2 linked regions of the Lonchura striata genome follow. The protein of the gene in region 1 purifies or fractionates together with the protein of each later gene. This does not show direct contact. Links are inferred from orthologs where the notes say so. Each region holds a gene or a part of one and is shown on either strand. Other genes may lie near its edges.

What was found.
Region 2: the proteins of XPO1 (region 1) and RCC1 purify together in Homo sapiens (affinity purification with mass spectrometry; 3 studies listed by BioGRID and IntAct, with this or other methods). This does not show direct contact. The link is inferred for Lonchura striata from reciprocal best matches to the Homo sapiens genes XPO1 and RCC1.

What each region holds. Positions count from the first base shown.
Region 1 is NC_134605.1:25,060,013-25,067,020, reverse strand, and holds the start of XPO1 (exportin-1), read right to left. Parts: upstream 3,002-7,008; 5' UTR 2,878-3,001; exon of another isoform or gene 2,863-2,877; intron 2,667-2,862; exon of another isoform or gene 2,341-2,666; 5' UTR 2,285-2,340; intron 1,743-2,284; exon of another isoform or gene 1,627-1,742; intron 1-1,626. UniProt on the Homo sapiens protein: Mediates the nuclear export of cellular proteins (cargos) bearing a leucine-rich nuclear export signal (NES) and of RNAs.
Region 2 is NC_134628.1:104,644-111,796, forward strand, and holds the start of RCC1 (regulator of chromosome condensation), read right to left. Parts: upstream 3,007-7,153; 5' UTR 2,918-3,006; intron 2,717-2,917; 5' UTR 2,673-2,716; intron 2,591-2,672; exon of another isoform or gene 2,386-2,590; intron 2,245-2,385; 5' UTR 2,203-2,244; intron 24-2,202; exon of another isoform or gene 3-23; intron 1-2. Other genes in the region: PHACTR4 (phosphatase and actin regulator 4), read right to left, coding at 4,509-4,524, 5,110-5,186, 6,074-6,211, 7,003-7,064. UniProt on the Homo sapiens protein: Guanine-nucleotide releasing factor that promotes the exchange of Ran-bound GDP by GTP, and thereby plays an important role in RAN-mediated functions in nuclear import and mitosis.

The sequences.
Region 1 (7,008 bases):
CTCAACCCTAGTAATTACTAATTAAGTGAAAGTTTTACTGTACCATACAGACAAGGAAAATCTTTTGTTTGGAAATGTGCATTTGCAAGTAGTGTCAAGGAATTTCTGTTACTTCTATATATAAGGATAGCTTTGAACCCAAATATTCTAATTGTATTTTCAACTAGAAAACTCAGTATTACTACACTAACACAACCATTTCAAGAGCTTCATCTCAACATCCAATCAAGTCTTCTTCCATGTTCCCACAAAACCAGGAGAAAACAAATATCGATTAGGGAACAAAATAAGTTAAAATTAACACTCCATGTCTATTCCTCCCTCCTTCAACTCCTAATGTTTTCAAAATTGCTATGTTAACTTGGGAAGCGAAAAACATAGCAGCAGAAAAGGCTGACTTCATTCTTCATTCCACTCTTTTGGCTCAGGAGGACTGAAAATGTCACCTGGCAAATGAGAGCCAGTGAGCAGCACCACTAGAAGGAAACTGCACCCATGAAGAGGCTCAGAGCAGTTAATGCTCCCAGGCACGCCCCTTTTTGTCCACACCTGGCCTCCATGGCTGAGCCGGGATAGCGGTTTCCGAACTACAATAAATGTCGTGCACCAGTCGCTCCTCAGGTAGGGCCATTCATTTCAGACTTGAGCCTCTTTCGGCGGTTTTCAGGCCACCCCGAGAGCGCCAAGGAGGAGCAGCGTGACCGAGAGAAGTTATTCAACACATGGAAGCAGAAAGGAAATGTTTTGAATAGGGCCCTTCGCCACTCCCAGCATTATCTTCAATATGACCTACCTACTTCGCCAGCCGAAACACAGAAATGGCGGCTTTGTGGCCACCACCACCTGCAGCCAACTCGATCTCCCAGTCCTAACCCTTTACCCACATGAAGCTTATAATCTCTGATTTACTATACTCCTACACTTTTCCCTCCCCCATCATGCTGAACTCCGGAACACATTTAAGCCTCATCTCTAAGAACCACCAGTGATCAGTCCTTCAATAAATGAGCAAACAGAAGCAGAAGAGAAAAAGTTAAAAAAAAAACCAAAAAGCAAAAACCAAACCAAAAAAAAAAAATTTCGACTACAACACAGCAAGAATGTGACATCTACCGAAGGTCAAAAGAACTGCATTAACAGCACTGTTTACACAGTTATCCCAACTCTCGATGACCCTGGACCTTTAACACAACAGTTAGCTTGTTGTGGTACACCCGATTCATTTTGGCCCGTAGCACACAGGAATAACAGCAGGCACTTAATAGTGAGAAATGTTGAGCATTTACCATGAATCCTACAGCAGCACCCTTTAACCCAGATATTTAAAGCTCACTGAGGGCAGACTAAAAAAAAAAAAAAAAGCAAACCCACCCTGGGAGAGTCACTATGCCCCATTTCCAAGCACGCAATGCAAGTGAATTTCCTCCCTCTTCCAAGGAATTAGCTGCACCACTTGTAAAGCCCACCCAGGAGGGGTGAGTGGCTATGAAACGCAGCGCACGACAAACGCGTTCGCATCACGCTCCACACACCAGCAATGGCAACGAAACCGCCCCTTCCCTTTGCTCCTTCACACACACACACGTGAAGAAGGACGAGACGGATTAAGCAACATCTGACCGACACCTCGGAGCGTTCATTTTCGGCTGGAAATAACCACCCAGCGCCGCGGCCTTCCCCGGCTCCTGCCGCAGCGCCCCTGGGCGGGCAGCGCCCAGCTCTCGGGTAGCCGCTCCCGGCTCCGGCCGGCGGGGCACCGGCTCCCGGCGGGGAAAGGGCCCGGGGCTGGGTCGGGCGGGCCGGGGCCCTGCGGAGCGCGGTGGCCCCGCAGCCTCCCCCTCCCTCCTCCCCCTTCTCCCCTGAGCTCCAGCCCTGCGCGCTATACAGGGCTCCCCACGTGATCCAGGCGGACGTTTCAATACTGCTGCACAGAACATACACACAAAAAATATTTCTGGAAACTTCCACTCCTAATAATTTACAGATTATGTCGCCGGGTTTGCCCGTACCCGATCCCAGCCTGCCCGGGCCCCTCCTAACGAGGAGCATCCCCCGCAGCATCCGTGGCTGCGCTCGGCCAGGCCGGGGATGCTCGTACCCCAAACCCCATCCGAGCGCACCCCCGCCCCTCAGGGCTTCTCCACGGGGTCCATCACATCTCTCCTAGCATAGGCCAGGCACTGGGGCCCCCTGCACGGGCACATCCCCCCGTTCTGCCCCTCAAAATACCCCCCTTTGCCCCCTCCGCGTTGCCCATCGCGACACCCCCACAACCCTCGCTTACCTAGGGGTTTCTCACAGCCTCTTCCTTCAGAAAGTAGGGGCGAGCGAGCCAAGTTTCTAACCACCACACACCACAAGAAAAAAAAAAAAAATAAAAAAAGACCACCAAAAATAATCCCTTCCCAAAATGAAGAAGAAAAAATAAAAAGACCACGGAAGGAGGGAAAAAAAAAAAAAAACAGCGCGGAAGGAGGGAAAAAACCACCACGGCAAGAGGTGGGGGGGAAGGCGAGCGCTCCCTCCTCGGTGGTGGGTCGGGGTTAGTGGCGCCACTCCTCCCCTCGCAGCGTGCCCGGCCTGGCTGCACCAGGCGCCCGCAGCTGCCCCCGGGGCTCCGCGCTCGGCTCCGCGCCTTCCCCACAGCCCCGGGAAAGCGGCCGGCGCGGCGCTCCGACCTCGCTGTTGTGGGGGGATCTCTACCCGGCTGCGCCTCCCGCGCCGCCCAGGCCCGGCCCCGCCGGCTCTCGCTGCCCCTGCGGCTGCCGCCCTCCCCGCCCGGCGCTCAGTTCGCCCCCATTCCCGCCACCCCCCCCCCGCGGCTCGCACTAAACTTCGCCCCCTCAGCTACAGGTCCCCTACGAGCAGGTCACACACGCGGCGGCGGCGACGGGGACTGAGCGCGGCGCGTCTCCCCCTCCTAATGCCACAGGCACGGAACCGGCTCAAACCGGTTCAGACTGGGAGATTCCATCTCGGTTTAGTTTTCAGCCCATGGCGCCGCGGAGCGTTTGGAAACCTCGGGGGCCCCGCCCAGCCGCCGCTCCCATTGGCTCCGGGATGTGCCGCCGCGAAGGCGGCCGCCACGGTGATTGGTCAGACGGGCTGTCAATCCGCTGCGCGGCTCGGATGGGCGGGGGGGCGAGGGGCGGCGGAGGGGGCGAGGGGCGGGGGGGCGGCGGGGAGGGGAGTAGAGGGGACCCGCCCCCTCTCCAGCAGCGCTTTGAGCGCTAAGGGGGGGAATGCCGCTCCCCGATAGGCCGAGCCGCGCTGTCACTCAGGGGCGCCCTGCCTCCGTGCTCGCAAAGCGCGGGCGCAGGCCTGGCCGCGCTCTCATTGGCCGGCGGCGGTGGCGGCATGACGCGCGCGCCTGAGCGCGGCTTTCGGGGCTGCGGCGGGAGGGGGCGGGAGCGGCGCGGCCGTTGGGCGCCCCCGGGCGCGTGCATGAGGCGCAATGGCGGGAGCGGAAGGGGGTCGAGCACCATCCCGTTCGCGCTGAGGCGCCGCTTCCGAGGGAGATGGGGCACCCTCCGTGTGGGGGCTGTGTGGAATGGCGGGCATTACCCTACAGGTCCCTCCCTCTCTCTGGGAGGGAGTGGAGTGCAGCAGAATATCTCAGCTGTAGAGTGGGCCCTGTGAGCAGCAGGGGCACCAGCCCTCGGTGGGTGCTTGCTGTCCCCTACCCCAGCAGTCCTATGCTCTCCACCAGAGCCTGTGCAGAGTGCGAGGGCGGTGTGTGTCCCCTCCTTTACGGTGCCTCTGTCCATGGCATGTCCAGCTTCCTGCAGCTGCCCTCCAAATTGTGCTTCAGGCAAGGCTGGCTTTAGACTTAGCGAAATATCGAGCTGTGTGAGGTGTAGTAGGAAACCAAACGTGAACAGGGGTGATTCGGAGATTTTCTGTGGCGGCACAAGCTTGGCATGCTGTGGTTGCTCATCTCATTGCTGCCTGAAGGAGTAGAGGACGTGCTTGCCAACTTCCACATGGAAAAGCTCCTACCAGTGAATGTACTCTGTGCCTACAGATGCATTTTTCAGTTTTAACCCTCATTTGAAAAACCCTTAGCTATAGAAGCTTATTACTCACTTCTGTGAGGAGGCTACTATTAGGAAGTATTTAATTTCCCTTCTCGAAACAAACTTTATTTTCTATCTCTTCAAGCAGTTACTTTGTTTTTGGGATGGCATTACACTGGTCTGTGAAGCTTGTTATAGGAGTGATACTTTTGATTTGTGGAATGCCCTCTGGATGATTTCCAAAGGAAACTCTGTATAGATTTGCTGAGGCGTTGTTTGCCTGTGCTATGGCTAGGAGTATGGAAGGGATGCTAAGCACTTTTGCACAGTTTTAAAACACACACAAAAAAAAAATGTTATGTGGTGTGTAGACTGCTCAGGCATAGTGTCTAAGTTACATCTGGTGTGAAGTTTGTATCTAGCAGGAAGATGCTGTGCTGTTGCTAGTAAGTCATAAGAAGGACACTTAACTATATTTTTGAAGCCTTTGTTGGCTTTCTGACTTCACAGATAGTGTGTGCTCCACCATGTAGCTGCTGGATCAGGCTCAAAACTATTTTTTCCCATAGGATTTTTTTTAATCCATACCTTCTGTGAAATGTATCAGTTTAAAGTTAGGCATCTGTAGTCATCCCCAAAAGATTGCCAGTGCGATGAAAACCATATAAACAAATACAATTGCACATATTTACAGTGTTCTGATTGCCTGACCAGTTCTAGAAGTGCTGTGGGGATTCCAGTTCCTCAATCTTCATTTTGTGGGTGTGTGTTATGTGATTTTTTTTTTTTTTTTTTTTTTTTTACTGCATTTCTGGGAAAGCTGGGGAAGTCTTGTACTCAAATGCACAATTGTGTTTTGGGCAGAATCTCAGAGGATGCAAGGTGGTGTGGTGCCAAAAAAGATCCTGTGTGATGTAATACTGCCTTAATGTGATGTATTGCTGCACTTAATTCCTCAGTTAAGTTTCTTGGAAAAACTGCAGAATTTAAGGCTTGAAGAGCTGGAATTTTTTTATTATGCCTAAAAGGAACTGCATCCTGTTAACATCTGTGTCAGAGTGGTAACAGTGCTTTGTTTATTTCAGCTTGTTTGTTGCTCTGGGGGCTTGGCCTTAGCAGAGTGACTGTAATCGAAGGTAGCACTGAAGCTACTGGGATTGCATTTGAACGTGGTTCCAGTAGAATGGATGGCATAGCGAGCTGTTGCTGGGTTAAAAGCAGGGCTGTAACTCTAGCACTTAGAATAAACAGTCCCTATGTGTGTTTTGATGTTTTAGCTAGCTCTGGTGTTCAAAACAAACTGATGTAAGAGACCAAAAAGTCAGATTCTTTTAACTCCTTCTGCTTGTGCAGAAGGTTCACTTCTATTTTCTTAGTGTGTATATGCATGTTAGAAGCAATTGTTTAAATCATTAAATCAGTTTGTTAAATGAATGTTAACTATTTTGAGAGTGGATGCAGTTTCACAATTTCATCAGGTGTTGGTAATGCCCAGATTGCAATGTGGTTTTAATAAATTGCAGGAGTAACAAACACAGTGGGGGTTGGCTCTGCCAGTTTGTTTGCTAAATCCTGTGCTTGAGTAGGGGAGAGTTTTTGCCTCATCACTGTTATCTCAAATAACACATTAAATTTTTTTTAGAAATAGCTTTCCTATCTTCCTGCAAGCTGTGCTCTGGGAAAACTGAACTCTTCCCACCTTCCTTCTGTAAGGAGCCAGGTGAAGGCTGCTTCAGGAACTCAGGGCAGGCAGTAAAAAGCAGCTGTTTTAGCAGGATGGGTGTATCTGATCACAGCTTTTCTCCCACACATGCTATCAGGAGCTGTTGTAAGCTTGTGCTTGCTGTTTTGTTGCCACTGTTCCATGTTTGATGTCTCCTTTATTAGCTGTTCAGTCTGGTATTTCAGCCTTGCTGGAATCAATAGAAAAATTTGCTTGGGTTTCAGGTCAGCAGTGTGGCCTGGTAGTGATAAAAGCTATCTGCACACTAGGCTGGATCAAAAGGAGCAGAACCAGGACATCAAGTGAAGTGATTCTTTCTCTCTGCTGGTCACTCAGCAGCTGCATGTGGCACACCATGCCTGAGCTTTGGTCCGTCACTACAAGAAAGATGTGGAAAGCCCTGTGCAAGTCCAACAGGGCCCATCTTCAAGGTGGAGAAGGGGCTGAGGGAGCTAGGCTTCTTCAGCCTGGAAAAAAAAAATTGGTGAAGGGAGACCCAGTAGCACAAACCAAAGCAGGGAGTGGGTACCATATGGGCAGAATTAAGTAACTGAGCTTTTGGGATCTATTTGTTCTTCACAGGGGCTCTACAATTTGTGGGAGTTAATATTTTTTTTTAATGCTTTTCTAATCCCTGTTCAGGGGTGATGGGATGGGCCACCAAGATCTGAGAGTATCACAAAATAAAGGTAATGTGGATAGGCAACTGATGCTTGTTAACTCTCTCCCTGAAGTTAGCGAGCTCTTCCTTTTACTCTTTTTACTAAAGAGGTTTTTTTCTTTACTCTTTAAAGCTTTTTATTTGTTTTTGGATGCTCTTCCTGTAAATTTGCTTTAGCAGAACATCTTCTTTAGCTGTGGTCAATTTGGTTTTTCAGAACCAGAATGACTTTCTTGGGTGGTGTGTCAGCATTAGGGGTTGTGCATCTGGGAAAGCTGAGGGAGGAGCTATAAAAATAAGAGAAAAATACCATGTTGGTATCATAATTTCTTGGCCGGTAAAGTAGGACTTGTAAGTGGAAAGAGCAGGGAAGAGAATAAAATAGAGCTGAGGAAATAAGGCAAAGACAAGGCAGGTGTTGGTGAGCCTGAAGTGAAAGGAATGAGGCATTCAGAGGAAATTGCCAGCTGTAAATTTTCAAGGCTGTCTGGGCAACACACAACTGAAACAATCTGTTAATGTCGAGTGTCACTCTAAACAGCTCCAGCCTCCACCTCATCCTTCAGGAAAGGCTCTTTCCCCATCCGTGCCTTTATGGGGGGCGTGTC
Region 2 (7,153 bases), on another chromosome or scaffold:
ACCGTCCGCCGGGCCGCCGCGCTCCGCTCTGCGCCTGCGCGCCGCGCCCGCGCCGCGCCGCGCCCCCTGGCGGCCGGCGGCCCCCGCGCCGCCCGCAGGCGGCGGGACGGGACGGACGGGACGGGGACAGGGGGACAGGACAGAGGGACAGGAGCGTGGGATCGGGACAGGGGGACAGGACAGAGGGACAGGAGCGTGGGATGAGGACAAGAGGACAGCTGGATAGGACAGGATGGAATGGGAGGACAGAAATACGGACGAGACAGGGGGATGGGATGAGGACAGGCAGTACAGGACGAGGGGACAGAAAGACAGAGGGACAGGCAGCACAAGGCAAGGCTCGCGGTCGGCAATACGTTAGCCCCCAGACAATAAATCTGTAACTCATCCTGCTCCTAACCTACAGAGATGCTGCCAGCCTCCGAGGCTGCAGCCAGCTGTGATGGAACAGAGCTGCTGCAAAAAAACTCAGTAATTACACGCGCAGAACAACGGTAAGAGAGTACTGAAATCCAGCAAGTCCGAGCTACCATATTTTCCAGCAACCTACTGCTGCATTAAGTGGAAAATACACTTTTACTCTTGGAACAGGAACTAGACCAAACTTCTCAGGCTAACAGGAAGACAGGGAACTTTCAAATTTTCCCTTCATCCAATGTGATTACCCTTATTCCACTAATTCTGCTGTTCCAGTCCAGAGGCCTGCATTTGGCCGTAACAGCTTTTACTAATAAAATGATGTTTCTAATTAACATCTTGGCTGGTACAGCAGCCTCATCTGCTTATCGACAGTGATTCCAGGGGTCACCCACAACCCATGACCGGAAAAGCTTCGAGGCATCACCATCGATTTATTTATTCCAGGCCCATGTGGAGCTTTGATGAACAGATACACAGCCACCCCCTGATCCTTTCCCGGGGGACTGCGCAGCCAAGGACAGGACGTCTGGCCAACTGCTGATGCCCATTCCACCCACCCCACACCAGCACTTCCCCCAAACCCACCCCACTCCCCTTTCCAAGGGAAGGGGAAACCCTGTAATGCCCTGCCCGGCTTCCCCCCACAAGCTACACCCCGGGGTAACAGACGCCATCAACCCCTTCTTGACTCAGCCCTTAATATGAAGCGTTTTCTTCCCTGAGATAATCCAAATCCGGATTTAAATTACGAATCTGCTTCCCAGTCCAGCCCCAAGAGTGCCACAGAGCATTTCTGCATCATTTACTTTGAGATTGGTCAGCACCAAACAAGAATTGTATTTCCACGCAAGAGGCACCACGCCGAGCATTAAGTTTTCATTAATATTCAGATCATTCACCAAAAACACACAGCAAGCCAAAGCTAAATTCAGTTTATTGTTTTGTCTACTGTATACAGGTACAGATTTACAAATAGAGAGAGAGCTGTATTTCAGGGCCTGAACACACAAACTGCTTCCACTCACATCCTATATACGTCGGAATCAGCAAGGTTGGCAAGTGCAGCCGCAGGAGAGCACACGCGGTATCTCCTTAACCCTTACGATCCCCCCCACTCCCCTTCCCCAGTTTTAAGCATCCCAAAAGCAGCTCTTTGCTGGACCAGCCAACCCCTCACGCCGGGAATTGTCCCTCCTTCCCGTGCAGCTTACCCATACCGCGTGCACCTCCAGGCCCTGATCCACAAAATCCAGGAACTGCGCTCCAAGGACGTGTTTTATAAAACCACTGGATTTATACATCCTTGGTTCCACCACGTTTTGATTTCTGTGGCTACGTTTTAGTCACACGTAGTGCACTAACAGTACTCGGGCAACTACCTAATTTGGGCACTCTTTAATATACTCACCCCTCTTCCACGGATTTTTCCTTGTTACTTCACCCCAGCAGTTTCTGCAATATTCTAGGAAAAATAGAGCGTTTTTTTCCTGCCTGTTCCTCGTGTCCCACAATACAGCAATTGTGTTTTAAGTTTAGTACACAAGTTTATCTCTAGCCATTTTTTTTCCTGTTTGCCAAGATTCATGATGGCTTTTTTTTTTTTTCCCCCTTCGAGACTCAGGAGTTTCTTTTCCCCATCCATCCAAAATCGAACACCATCATCGAAGCTAGAAGCCTGCGATCTGAACTGACATTACTACCGGATTGGGATTTTATTACTGTCCCATTTTTTTAGAAACATCTTTGCAACTACACACAATATTACATTTTAAACGCAATTACCTTCAAAAATCGTGTTTTACTCCAACTTTTCCGATATTGGCACTGGAAATAATGAAAAAAAAGGTACTTTAAGAATTTCTCAGGTGCTTGTGTTTTTCTGTTTCTCCCTCCCAGCTCCGCATGTGTTCACCGTCCCACCCCGCGTGTCAGTGTATTATCAACAGTTTCTAACCGATTTTTAAGAAGTGTTTCCTGCATGGTTTGTCTCCTCTGTAACGGCCCAAGGGCTCAGAGAAGAAGTAGGAATATGCAGGCTGCAGGCTCGGGGCCCGGCTTGCTCTCCAACGTCGTGGAAAGGGACTGTACGTCACGGGCCCGAGGGCCTGCGCTCCCGTGCGCCACACGGACAGAGCCGAGAGAGAGCGACTTCTCCGGATATCCACGTTGGACCTTTACTTTTAACTTTTATAACCATCCTGATCCCCCCAGGCCCCCGCGCGTCCCAGGCCACGGCAAGCATGGATACTCACGCTGCAGCGGGCCGCACAAACCAAGCTTGAAGAGACTTTGGAACCTGTGGGAAAAGAAAATGGCTGTGAGGGGCGGCTGAGGTAGCGCCGCAGCACCCGCAGCCACGTGTAACTCACGGCGTAGTTTAGCGTTAAAACCAGGATGGAGCGGGCATCCGCTGACAGCGCAGGACCTCACACCACAGCAAGAAAAGGGATTTAAAGGGTAAAAACGGCAAAAAGGGTAAAACTAAATGGCACCTCACCTGTCAGCTCCGCCGCTCCCCACGGTGAAAAAGGCCGAGCCTCGCCGCGCGGCGTTTTTTATAGCGCGCGGGGGCGGGGCCGAAACCCGCGCAGGCGCGTCAGGCGCGAGCGGCGGGGACACACCGTGTATGGGCAGAGGCGCCGGGGCCGCCGCGCCGCGGAGGGCCGGGCCAGCCGCGCCTGCGCAGCGGCCGGCAGGGCGGTTGGCGCACGCGCAGTCGGAAGGGCGCGAAAAGCCTGAGGGGAGGCGCCGCCATGGCGGACCTGCCCCCCTCCCCCTCAGGAGCCCCGGTCAGGCTCCTGCTGAGATCAGCTGAAAAGACACGGCTGCACAAGCAGGGTTTAAGAAAAAGAATTCTAAAATACTTTTATTTAATAATTAAAATCTGTTGTTGCGGAGACTGATATACAATGTAATGGCGGCTGTACAGGGGATGCTGTGAGGGAAGAGCCCCCAGCGGCTGCTGGGCCATAGCCGGCGTGTTGCCACGCTGGTCTGTGAGCAAGACAGAGTTCTTCTCTCCCTCCCGCCCTCCCGCACAAGTGACATCTCACCGATAGTTTAGTTTTGTGCATAATACAGCAGTGGCCCTACCGGATTTTTTTTTTTTTCAACCCGCATTGAGGAAGAATTTTTCTCTCAGAAGAGAAATACCATCTTTTTAAGGTCACTTTTTAAACCTATTCTTCCCCTCCTTTTGATCCACACAGTGAAACGATCAAATTTCCAGTAGGTTTAGCTGTAAAAATGAGAAAAAGGCAACCTTCAACCCTGATTTGGGAGAGTAAAAAACATTTGAGAGAAAGCCACAATAAAAAGGACTGACTACTCTCACAGTTTCTCCTAATTAAAAAGTTTTAAAAAGGCAACAGTCATTGTTCCTGGTTCTGTAATTTGTTAAACAAGCCTAAATATCTCTGGATCTGTTATTAAGATCAGAGCAAGTGTGAGAGTGCAGAGCATTTACACATATGTTGGGTTTTTTTCTTTTTTTTTAACAAAAAGATGCAGCATATGTTAATATCTATACAATTCCCTTCCAGGACAACAAACCGTTGGTCAGTAGTGATTCAGGGCATTAACGACTTGACAGAAAAGAAAACCTCACAAAAACCACCGAGTGCCATGTCAGCCGTCTGCCAGGGTTCTCTGTACACAGCTAATATACACATACATGCTTCTGAGCACATGCTCTCCTCAGCTTCCCAACCTTAGAGCTGCCTTTGTTTTTAATCTCCCTTCCTCACAGAAAGGAGGAGGAAATGAGGAATTGCTCTCCCCAAGACAAGTCTGTACAGCTTGGGAAGGAAGGGGTCCTTCCCCTGGACACGGTCTCCTGGCAGAGTCATATTGCTGAGCCACGTGAGGTATAGTGTCAGTTCCAGCCTGATGGCATGAGAGATGTGTTTGCTCCAGTGAAATGCTACATTCAGACAGGATTCCCCTTCCCTGGCCAGAAGCCCTTTTCTGGATATGTTTGGAAGGCAAATCTTGGAAGAGCTGAGGTTCCACCCTCACTGTATTGCCTCAGAGGGGGATGCAGAGAACTCTTCCAGCCCTCCCAGGTTTCTTGCTCCCTCCTTGGAATATTATGGTCGATGGTACCTGAAAGCAAGGAAAAAATCTGAGTGTTATCTTTGGAACTCAGGTTAAATGGTTACTTGGGCACTGTAGATGGCCAAAGAGAGTGTATTGAATTATCTCAGAACTCTCAGCCCTCAGGAAAGCTGTGAACATCAAATAATTTCACCTCCTGTGCTCTGCACTCAACTTTGCCACACAGAGCTGGAAGGAAAGGAATCATTTAGGCTATGATCCAGACCTGACTACACAGATTACACCCAAGGTAACTCATTAGCAAGTTGTTTTGTGGCTGTGGCTGCACATCTCTAGCCCCAGAAAAGCTCACTCCATCTGCAGCTTCACACTAGTTTCAGATACACCTCAATCTAGACACTGGTCACTGAGCCATCAGGATGGAAGCCCCAGTTTAAGTAAAAACAACCCACTTTGTGTCTGCTGCTACTCCAGTCACCCCCCAGGACAGGGACAGAAAGGGACATTCAATCTCCAACTGCTGCACAAATAATTTTTCTAAGGTTGTAGTGTTTTGCCACTGAGCACTGTCCTTGCAGCACAGCTCTGACAGGTCTAACAAGACCAAAACTTTTTATATTAATACATTCTCACCTCGTGAACTGCTTGCTCTCCTCATGCACTTCCATTTCACAGCTCTTAAACTCATTCAGCTCCTTCCTGATGGCTGCCTGCACAGAGAGGGAGATTTTTTTGGAAAGGAAAGGGCTCAGATTCCAGCAGCCACCCCAGCTTTCACAGTCCATTAAGACCAAGCTGAATTTAATCTGCCCCTCCCCGACGAGTCTGGGCAGTCCCCAAAGGTGGCCTGGGAGAACAAGGACAGATGTTCCCCGCCAGTTTGAGCCTGCAGGGAGCTGCACTGCTATGACCAATACTCAGTACCCCTGCTGTGTTGAGAAAAGAGAATGGGACTGGGGAAGGGTCCGAAGCACCAAGAGCAGCTGGGTGAGGTGGGGGCCTGAGCCCGCAGAAAAGAAGGTGCAGGGAGGATCTTCTCACTCTCTACAACTCCCTAACAGGAGGGTCAAGACAGCTGAGGTTGGTCACTTCTCCCAGGTAACAAGTGACAGAACAAAGGGAAACTGTCTCAGGTTGAGCCAGAGGAAGTTTAGATGAGATACAAGGAAAAATGTCTTCATAGAAAGGGCTGTAGTAGAATCACCATCCCAGGAACTGTTCAAAAATGTGCAGATGGGGCACCTGGGAACATGATTTACTGCTGAACATGATGGTGCTGGGTAAACAGCTGGACTCCATCATCTTCAAAGGCTTTTCCAACCTTAACGATTCCATGATATTATGATTCTTACATCACTCAGAAGCTGAGGCAGAAGCCTTTCAGACTGTGCCCACCAGGGCTCCCACCTTGCCATGAGGCAGCAGGAAGCAGACCTGGGACAGCACATGCAAGTGAAAGCACACACATGGGGTGGCAGAGGGAAAGATGAGGAGGTGAAGCCAGAGGAACAGAGCAAATCTCCTTGGCTCACACCCGTTTGTGTGGGTCACCCTGGTCTGGCTCCTTTTCCCATGTGGGGACAGGACACTCAGTTACCTTGTCAGCTGGTGTCAGCTTTGTCCATGGCTTATCTGCTCGCCGGTCATAGTCCTGGGCATCTGTTACTTCCACATATTCATTAAACCTCAGGATCTTCCTAGCCTGCAGCTCTGCCACTGTAGGCCTTTGGCTAAGCTGAACACCAGGAAAAACAAAGGAGGTTAGTCTGAGCCTTGTCCACAAAGCAGGTCCAGGACTAAGCACCCCAAGCAAAACTAGAACTGGTTCCCTCACTGTGCCTTAAGCACGGACACTACCAGATCCTGTGTGCAGCCTGCAAGGGGATAGGTAAACCTCTTACAGACTGGATACTTTCACCAGGATCACAAAACCAGGCTAGGGCAGAACCTGGGCCACACTGTCATGAAGAAAGACACTGAGGAGTGTGGGAACAGCTGCTACAAAGGTGAGCCCTGCATGACGCCCCTAAACACAGCTTCAGCAATGGCAGCACTCACACTTCACACCCACAGGCCTTGGGGAAGCTTTTCCCAGCCATGAGCAACAATCACAAGTAACCTGGATGTAACAGCTAAAAGCAGCTGCTACTCTGCTCAGCTCCCACATTGCAGTTCCTTTAGAAATGGATTTTAGGGAGCCTGGTGTCAAGTGGTGGCTGCTGAAACACCGTGTTAAAGCAGCCAGGCCAGCAAACCTTAAAAGTATCAGGTACCAAATTTAGTTCTCATCTTGCTTGTTACACTCGCTGCCAGGTCAGATCCGTCACTGACAAAAACACGGCCCCGGTGCCAATGGTTCACGGTGGGTGACAGTCCACATTCCAAAGTCACTGCAGTCCGAGGGCACTGGGGACACTTACACAAGAGCCCTGTGACTTCGCCCACAGCACGGTACCTACAACGTGCTTGCTGCCACCATGCCCAGCAGCCCTGCCAGGTGGCTGTCACCGTGGGAGCCAGCAGTACCTTTCTGGTCAGCCGGCGCTTGATCTCGCGCTTCTCAGCTTGACGGTCAGCTTCATTTTTCGCTGCCAAGGGGGAAAAAAAAGCGTTTTTCATGTAAGCATCAGGCTTTGAAAAGTGCTTTCTAGGCTTGAACAAAGGACAGTGTTGAGCT